Regions from separate parts of the Mus musculus genome. Here all the other regions are reported to be linked to region 2. The links are microRNA targets in miRTarBase. Many come from high-throughput screens and were not tested one by one. Region 2 holds a microRNA gene; each other region holds the end of a gene's coding sequence.

What was found. Region 2 holds the annotated microRNA mmu-miR-3085-3p (UCUGGCUGCUAUGGCCCCCUC, at 1,920-1,940, shown strand). A microRNA usually pairs through its seed, bases 2 to 8, with sites in the 3' UTR of a target mRNA and lowers its output. Matches are read on the target gene's strand: a 7mer-m8 pairs with bases 2 to 8, a 7mer-A1 pairs with bases 2 to 7 and ends in A, and an 8mer does both.
Region 1: the mRNA of Dcp2 is a reported target of mmu-miR-3085-3p. The part of its 3' UTR that is shown has no 7-base or 8-base seed match.
Region 3: the mRNA of Ift46 is a reported target of mmu-miR-3085-3p. Seed matches in the 3' UTR shown: 7mer-m8 at 1,690-1,696 and 7mer-m8 at 1,838-1,844.

What each region holds. Positions count from the first base shown.
Region 1 is chr18:44,417,200-44,420,199 of GRCm38, forward strand. Dcp2 (decapping mRNA 2) reads left to right here. Exons shown (of 11, transcript NM_027490.1): 11 at 367-3,000. The coding sequence ends at 530. Among named protein-coding and RNA genes, the nearest start is that of Dcp2, 38 kb to the left of the region's middle.
Region 2 is chr19:42,278,859-42,282,034 of GRCm38, reverse strand. Mir3085 (microRNA 3085) reads left to right here and starts at 1,865; the gene lies at 1,865-1,953. Gm34347 (a long non-coding RNA gene) reads right to left here. Exons shown (of 3, transcript XR_386718.4): 1 at 2,112-3,176.
Region 3 is chr9:44,790,289-44,793,288 of GRCm38, forward strand. It overlaps Ift46 (intraflagellar transport 46), which reads left to right. Exons shown (of 12, transcript NM_023831.3): 12 at 197-2,426. The coding sequence ends at 292. Among named protein-coding and RNA genes, the nearest start is that of Tmem25, 7.5 kb to the right of the region's middle.

The sequences.
Region 1 (3,000 bases), not on the chromosome of region 2:
TTTCTGTTTTAATCTACTAAAATTTGATAACTTCAACTGTATTTTCCTATACTTCTAATCTTTACAGTTTTTTTAAATTGTAATTTTTATAATAACCTCTGCCAAGGAGCTTTGGTTACTGTTGCACAAAATACAAATATAGGTGCTAAAAACATGCCCATTTCGAAAGCAGGGGTCTTAAAAGGTAGGCTAAATATCTGAATTAATAGAAATAAGTAGAAATAAGCAGTAACCGATTCCACTGAATCCTAAAGTGAGGTGTTTAGGATCGAGTCAGGAAGACTTAACTTAAACATGTGAGTGCGTGAAAGGCAATTTCTGGTTAACTTTCTGAGTTATTGTCTACTAATTCTGTTTCCTAAGCAGATGCCACATGTGACCTGCCTTGTTCTGGTGAAGAGCCGTCGGTAGAACATGCTGAGGGACATTCTGTGGCATGCAACGGACATTGCAAGTTCCCATTTTCATCCAGAGCCTTTCTGAGTTTCAAGTTTGACCAAAATGCTATAATGAAAATCTTGGACCTTTGAGCCAGCAAGAGTATTGCAGAAGTCCCTCGATCTGAGACCTGTTGCGTGTGAGTGGCTGTCTCCTCAAGCCTTACCTTTCTCAGGTATCTGAAAGAAGTGCAGGGAGGCCATGTTTCTAAAGAGATGTTCTGTACAGACGAGAAACTAGAAAGAAACACAAGTTTGCACTGTAAATGCATTTAGAACTTTTTATATGGATTTACCATTTCAGTGTTTGGAACCAAGTTTTAGTTGCCTGTGTTTTTTTTTGTCTCTCCCTTATTTTTGTGTGACTGTGTTTTGTTTTATATTCTCATCAAGAGTTGTTTTGATTGCATCATCAGCAAGTAGCCATGTCAATAGGAGTGTTTCACCTCCCCATCTTAGTGATTGCAAAAAGCTTGCTTATTGAAAACTTAAAGGAACTTAAAACCCCAGTTACCAATGTACTGGGCATCAGAGCTGAACCGTGAGGTGAGGATGCAGGCGTTTACTCATCTCTGCCTCTAACCACTGAGAGTCTAACCTTCCAACTGGAGCTGCACAGTGAACCTCGAGCACTTCATCAGGACCACATCCACAGCCTGGAGAGAGATGGAGTCAGTGGGGAGCTGATGCTGTGGATATTGAGCTCTGATGTTTGCTGTCAAAAACCTGTGAGTGCTGGAGCAGAGAGCATGGAAGCAATAGCTGACAGTTACTCCAGGTCATGCCTTGACTCTCCTGCCTCCGTCCGTTCAGTATTGTGTCGTGATTATGCCTGTGTGAAACGTCTATGCGTATTCTAGTTGTGAGTCTGTGTGGAAAACTTCATTCTTAGTTCTATATTGCATCTCAACGTTGATCTGTGTAAGCTGGTATTATGTTAGGTTCCAGTTTGCAGTAATACTAGACTGACATGCTTTTCATTAATATCTTGAAGCCCCTGAGTTACAACGTGAGAAAGAAGGGGATCTGCAGTTTACCAGTAAGTCCAGCATGTCACTAGGGGACCGACCCTTGAAGTAATGTACTTAGATCACACGTAGGAATGTATTTTGTATTTTGCTCCTTCAGAATTCTTAAACCAAACACGGGTGACAGTGCCCACTTTGCAGAGATCGCCTGTTGTTGAGGACAATCACCAGAGCTTTAAGGAGGCAATATGATGTTGGCTGCCCCTGACCTCGCTGAGAATCTCTTCTGGGGTGGACTGTGCTGTTAGAGTGCATGTGTACACGTGCGTCTGTCGTGTGCGGTTTTAACAAGTGGTATCCACAAAGTATATCTCTGCTTATAAATAGTACTATAGAAATCTCTATGCTGTATATGTAGCCTATTTAACTGGGGGTTCTGCCTAACCCCATGGGACTTAAAAGGAAGGGCTATTATTGTAAGGAATTCACTTGGTATTACTACTTTGCTTTAGCTTTTAAATGACTGATTTTAAAGAAGAAATTATATTTATTCATGAAAGTGTCACTCGGTGCTAAGCAGGAGACTTCACAGTGATACAGTATGTTTGGAATCTTCTATGCGACTACTTTGTGAATCCTTCTGTGACCTTTGCTTTTTAATGCATTATATGATTGTGTTTGGAAGCCCTTACTGTTCTTGTCAGAAATACAGCTGCTTTGCTTGGGTCTTCTTGAGCCATATTTATAATTGGTCCCAGCATTCCAGATTTCTGTTAAATGGTTAAGGGAGTGAAAACTGAAGCTTGCCTGGCAGTGAGCCACTGTCACTCCCTGACTGTCACCAAGAAACCATTGTGTGTGTGTGTGTGTGAGAGAGAGAGAGAGAGAGAGAGAGAGAGAGAGAGAGAGAGATATTCTTCTTAAGTGAGCACTTCAGTCAGTCCCTGGTGCCTGTAGAGGTTGGATTCTCAGCTCTCCATACTAGAGCAAAATCAACTAGCTAGCACAAGGTCCATGGCCCTTAAAGTGGTTGACTGTAAGAACCAACCAGTGATGTGCTGCTTCATTTAATGCACTGTGGAACAAAGCAAGGGCATGGTTGGGGTGCATTTACAATAACTTTAGGCTTTAGGTCTCTCAACAGGCTGAAATGTTGAGAGAGTAAGGTTTGTATGTGTGATGTGACTCAACTATGCAGAAAATGTTAAGTTGGTGTTCTTGTTAATGTAAGTCCAGCGTACACACTTCTTCACTGTACAGTTTAGCTGGGAGACCATATTTAGCACAGGACGGGATTTCTTCTCTGAGCTATGTTAGCGTTTCTTCATAGGATCTAGTGATGAGGACTCTGAATATGCAGTAATGTGCTTCTGTGTAGTGCCGCATTTAGAGACAGACTCTAGAGGGAACAGTAGATACGTCGGCCTTATTATTATTTGTGTTTGAGAGGTGAGACTTTAAAATCGCTTTTAAACATCCTTAGGATCCAACTGCATGTGTTCCGAGGTGCAGTGCACTGTGAATCTTTTTAAGTCTAAGTTTGTAGGTGCTTTTATGTGTAACTTAAGTGGTTGGAAGAATGTTTAATAACTTTG
Region 2 (3,176 bases):
TGTTAAGGGTGAGCGGCTGTACACTTGCTGCTCAGACCTTTCCCCGTTCACCCCGGAAGCCCTTGCCTTTTCAGACCTGAACAAGTGGATCTGAGATAGTAAGACAAGGAAGACCCAGAGCCCACGGGGACTGGTCGCAAATGCAGCGCAGAGCAGTAGGAAATGACAAGATAGCGAGCTCCATTGACTGGCCACACATGTCAGCATGAGAAATGGGAGTAGGAAAAAATAAAAATAAAAACCAGCGAGACAGCCTGCCAAGGACACCAAGTGTGACGGCCAACTCCAGAGGATGCCTGATCCCTCCCCCCCCCCCACCCCCGGTTGAGTTTCAGGCCACGGGGTCTGGCAGTGCCATTTCATCCTATCTGGTGGGAATGTCAGGGGAGTCAAAGAAAGAAGTTCAAGGCTCCCTAACTGCTGAGAGCAAACTCAGGGTAAGAAGGCTTTCCGTGGCGTTCATTCATTCAACAGCTATTGGCTGAGCCCCTGTTCTGCAACAGGGCCTGGGTAGGGCTCTAGGTTTGTAACAGTGAGTAAAGATAACATGTTTGATACCCCACACGCACACCACCTTCCCTCCAGCTGGATGGAAAAAGCCAAGTATAGTGTGGGAGGGGACTATAAGGGGCTTTCTTAAAAGTCTAGCTAGGTTCTCAGGTTACTGCGCCTGAGAAGCAAACACTATGCATTCATTTATCCGTGTGTCCATTCAGCAAGTGTTGATTAAGGACCTCGTGGGTTTCTCATGAAGAAGGTAACCAGCTCCCCTCAGTGAGAAGGTTAAGTCTCCTACACCCAAGAAGCTTATATTGGAGGAAAAAAATACCAGGTTAAACTTTATGGAAGATGGGCAGACTCTGAACCAACCCAACATCACCTGCCCGCCACTCACCAGGCATCCAGATATTGGAGCTGGGTGCCCCTGGCTCCAGACCTTCATTTCACTTCCTGAGCGTTATCAGCCACGGGTGAGTGGGTGCAAGCTTCAGCAAGGCTTAGGAGGCCACTGTCCCCATCCCCTTAACTCCTCCACTTCCTCATCCTGAGGCTCATGGCCTCTGAGCCCTCGTTGTCCACTTTGGAGCACACACACCCATCTTTCTTCTGTCCCATAGACCCACTTAGGTCCCTGACATCTTTTTTTTAGGTTATGCTCCAAGTTGTAAAAAGTAAAAAAAAAAAAAAAAAATGGAAAAGCCACCTTCAGGGCAGGTGAATAACACATGATCAACTCTAGCCAAGGCAGAAGTGGGATCCTTCCCATCCTTCGTTCCATTTTTCAAGAATACCCCCTCAAAACGATCTTTAACAATTTTAATAGTAATAATAACTACAACAATAATATCGCTTTTACTCTGTCTGATGCAGTCTCCTCCAGGAATGTTCCCCCTCAGAATGACAATAATGGCTTTCAGTGAGTGAGCTCAGCGTGTCTAGGTTGGACATAAACTCTTTACAAGAACCAACTCGCTTAATCCCTGCAGCAATCCCTAGAGGAAGAGGCTATAATTATAGGGGTGGGTTAAGTGGTTCCTCGGGATCACACAGCTGGGATAAGCAAAGGTGGGGTGGCGTCCCAGACAGTCTGGCTGTCTCCCACTAGCATGCTTACCTGCCCTGCCGTGCCTACCCACTTCATTCAGGTAGCCAACTGGTTTGGGCAGAAGCCACAGTCTCTCATCCTTCTCCAAGTCAAGGGCTAAGTGGGAAGGGAGAAACAGAGTTCCCAGAGAGCTGAGAATTGAAGCAATCCTACCAGAGTCACACCAAAGCCTGCAGGAAGAGCAGGCCACACCCACATGGAGAGCGCCCTCACCAGGCCAGCCTGGTCACTTTCTCCAGGTCACCTCCATCACCAACAGTCCCAACTCTGGGAAGGTGCCATTCCGAGGGCCAAGAGTCTGAATATGAGTCACTCTGGCTGCTATGGCCCCCTCCCAGGGCTTGGGCATCACATCCCTACCAAGAAGGCTGGACCAAGCAAGAACTCCAACACAGCCTCTGTTAGAGGAACATGGAGACAGAGAACATTTCATCATTTCATCATCTCAGGGTTCCAGAGATTCCAGACTCCAACTTCAGGAGGACAGTCAAATCCCTCCCCTTACCTCTCTGCCCATGGTCACCGCTGTCTCATTCCTTTTGTAAGCTCAGTAGCCAAGCCACAGGGAGTCAGAAACCTGCCAAGGGCTGAGGTTGTGTTTCCTTGGCAACAGGAACATCCTGGAAGGAGGAAGAAGGAGGCAGGCAGCTAGGGCTAGTTAACAGGACAGATAATCCCACTGTCCTCTGCCCTCAGCAGCTCTGCCCTCTTACACAGCACTGTGGAACAGTGGTTCAGTCAGAGGGTAGACCATCAGAGGAGAAATGAGAAGCAAGAAGACACAAGAGCATCCTCGGGGAGAAGTTAACATTTACGGAATGCCCACTATATGCCAAAAACTGCATAGATGTCTGCATTAATCCTTACTCCATCCTGAAAGGCAAATGTTACTGGTCTACTCTATTACCAAGGAAACTGAGGCTTGGGAAGAACAAGCTACACAGGGTCAGAGTTCACTGAAGTGGCTGACGATGTAATTTAGACCCCAAACTGTCTACTCTGCAGCTTGGGTTCCTAAGCTGTGTGCTTTCAGTTTCCAGGTAATTTGCACCTGAGGGAGTTATGTAACCAACTGGTCACTGATAATCAAATACAGACCACTATGTGCTGCACATTATTCTAGTGGCTTTGGATATTTATCGGTGAACAACACTGGCAACATCTCTTCCATGTTGACATTTGGCAAGGCATGCTCGTATAAACATGACGGTAAAAGTCTTGTGTGTTAGAAAATCCTGAGTGGGGGAAGAGGGGAGACATTAAGGGAGTTTGTGAGCACCTGGGTAGAGGCAAACTGTTACTTTAGGTAGGGTGGGCCAGAGTGCTCAGCCCCTAGAGGAAAAAAAAAAGATATTTAAGATTTAAAGTATTTAAGATTTAAAGTAGGTAAAATATACTTGAATCTCAGTTTCTCGTCTCTAAAATGAGTATGAAGCTTACATTTATTAAACTTGAGTTTTAGCAGTAACGGATACCTCACAGTTATTGTATTAAACTTGCCACAGTGTCTGGCATGGAGTGCACCTCCTATAAATCAGAGATCTCATTATTAATAAATACCACAATTGAT
Region 3 (3,000 bases), not on the chromosome of region 2:
CAAGTTGACTTGGAACTCATAGTGTAGCCCAGCCTAGCTTTAGATTCACAGTGATCCTCCTGCCTCAGTCTCCCAACTGTGGAGTGACAGGCCTGTGCCAGCACACTCAGTTTAACTTAAAGGGATTTTAAAGTGGTTTTCTTTGTTAAAATGCAGCAGCCAGCATATTGCAAACATGTCCTCTCCTTTCTTGCAGCATTTTAAAGCTCTTGCTGAAGGCAAAAAAGTATTCACCCCTCCACCCAACTCTGCCTCCCAGGCTGGGGATGCGGAGACACTGACTTTCATCTGAGCCTCCTCCTGGGACTGTGCTTCAAAGTTAGATGAAGATGTGGTCTCTGTTGGCAGCTTAATGTCTCCCTGCTCCACAGCTGGGCTCTGTCAACATGAACCCTGCTGCCTTGTCCTCGAGGGCAGGGCACACCTTGTTTACACCTGCCTCCCGTTGCCATTCCAGAGGAAGGATGTAGCCACTCTGCTGTGGGCCTCTGAGTTGGAAGAACTGGGACTCTGAGAGCCCCAGGACACAGGTTGGGGACAGAGCTTCCAGAGACACACAGACTGCTCTGTCAGGTTGTGATGGAATACATACTGGTTTTCACCCATGGCTTCTGGCTCATTAGTGTCCCATTGCCCTGATGCTCTCTAGAGTGAGTAGGGTCGGGTTGGGGCCTTACAGCAGGCCTGCCTGTGCCTCTGAGAATCATGTCCTTCTATTTGACCTTCTGCCCTTCTTTCACCTCCCTTTCTCCCCAAGCAGCCCACAACCCCGAATCTTTCCCCAAGGCAATCATGGACATCTGCTCCTACAATCTTACATTCTTTTATTTTACTTTTGTTTGTGTTGTGAGGCAGCATCTCCTGTAGCCCAGCTTGGCTTCGAACTATCTGTGCAGGCTGGTCTTGAAGGCCTGATCTTCCCGCCTCCACCTCTACCTCCCAGGTACCAGGCCTTCAGGTATATTCAGCAAACCCAGTTTATTCTTAAATTTGTTGACCTATCTGGATAATAGACCAAGACCCTCATTTAGATGGGCACTTGCCCCTTACCAGCAAGGAAGCAAACTGAGTAATTTCCAGACCTCACTTGGCATCCCACCCAAACCACAGCATTAGATCAGACCATTTTTGCCCAGTCACATGCCAGCATAGTGGTCCAGGTTTCAGCTGTTCCTTCGTGTGATGTCTCCATGGAAACTCAAAAGGTCAGGCCTTGGAGAGTTTTCAGACAGTCAGATACAGGGAGGTTCCCAAAAGGTGGCATGCATCTTACACATCTTTGTGAATTTTAAAATAATTGTATTTGTTTTAGACTGGTTCTCTGTACAGCCGAGAGTGGTCTACAGTTCACTATGAAGCTCAGGCGTTACGAGTTCATTATCACCTTTTGCTTCTGGGTACTAGGATTACAGGCCTGAGCCACCGTGCCCACTGTTCACCCCTTCACCTGCATCCTTTGACCATCTTTCATGAAAAATTGAGAAAAGTGTTTCTCTAGGTTCTGCAATATGTTGAACTCCGAGGAGCGGGTTGTGGGGACGCCTGACTAACCACTGGTGGTTGAGAGGCACAGGCAAGAGCGTGTGGCTCCAGGGAGCACGGCTGTGGCAGTGTTTGGAGGAGCTGCTTAAGCGGGGTGGAAGTGGAGGAGAGATTCAGGAGCAATTTGGAGTGGTATCAACTGGTTCCCAGCCAGGAAACCTGAAACCGTTCTAGAGTTTTGTTGGGTTTTTGTCGCTGTCTTCAGACACACCAGAAGAGAGCATCGGATCCCATTGCAGATGGTTGTGAGCCACTATGTGGTTGCTGGGAATTGAACTCAGGACCTCTGGAAGAGCAGCCAGTGCTCTGAACTGCTGAGCCATCTCTCCTGCCCCATTCTGGATGTTTTTAACAAAGGACATTTAACACAACAATTTGGTGACAAAAGTATGGGGAAGGAACTGACAAGATGGCACAGCAGGTAAAGGTGCTTGTCACAAAGCTTGGCCACCTGAGTTCAATCCCTGGGACTCACATGGTGGAAGGAGAAAACTACTAAAACTTGTGTTCTGTAAGCCACGTGCACTTGCATGAGCATGCACACACACATACACATGCGGGCACACACACAGTGGTGCATGGTAGTTTAAAGGTTGGTATCTAGGAGGTGGCTGTGGCCAGATGATGCTGAGGGCAGAGGAGGGTTGCAGAGCCTCACCTACCACTGCAGGGACTTTGAGCAAAGTGGTTGCTTCCTCTCACCTCCTCACCTCCCATGACAGACAAAAATGCAGACCAGGAATCAGAACCCAGCAGCACAAGAATGAGGAATTTTCCTTTGTCCACGTGGAAGCTCTCAGCCCCACCCTTGGAATTTTTATGGGGACCTCATTGCACAGGCTTGATTGACTCCAGGACAAATACGTAGAAATAAAACCAGACCCAAAGACTGTGATCCAAAGACCCAAAGATTGCTAAGATGCTGGGGGCAGAGGGTGGGGTGGGGTGGGGCTGGGGGACACCCAGCAAGGCCTGTGTTTGGTCCTTCAGTATTCCCTCCTCTGTGAGAGACCCGCTAAGAGAACCAAGGATGACGCTGAGATATTTTAGGCTTAAGCAACTGAATGGGTAACCGAGCCATGTACTGACAGGGAGAAAGTGGTGTCACAATGGATTGCAGGGAAGGCTCCACTGTCAGCCTGACCAACACACACACAGACTGTTCATGAGCCTTACAAACTCAAACCAGCTGTGATCACGTCAGGCTTGGGGCTGTGTTGCTGCCTCATTCTGACACTAGGCCAGGCTCTCTGCTTTCTCACCATTAGCGTTAGAGTTTGCCTTATGGGGAGTGGAAGTGTGCAGTGATCGCTCAGATGCTCCGTCAGGGCTCCAGGGAACAGACCGCTGTAGCTACCGCTCTTATGGTCACTACTAGTCCACATTAGACTAACAGATACTGAACTGCTGCTCCCGGCGGGTACTCAGGTGCCTGCTGTGTGATCGAAAACATTTAAT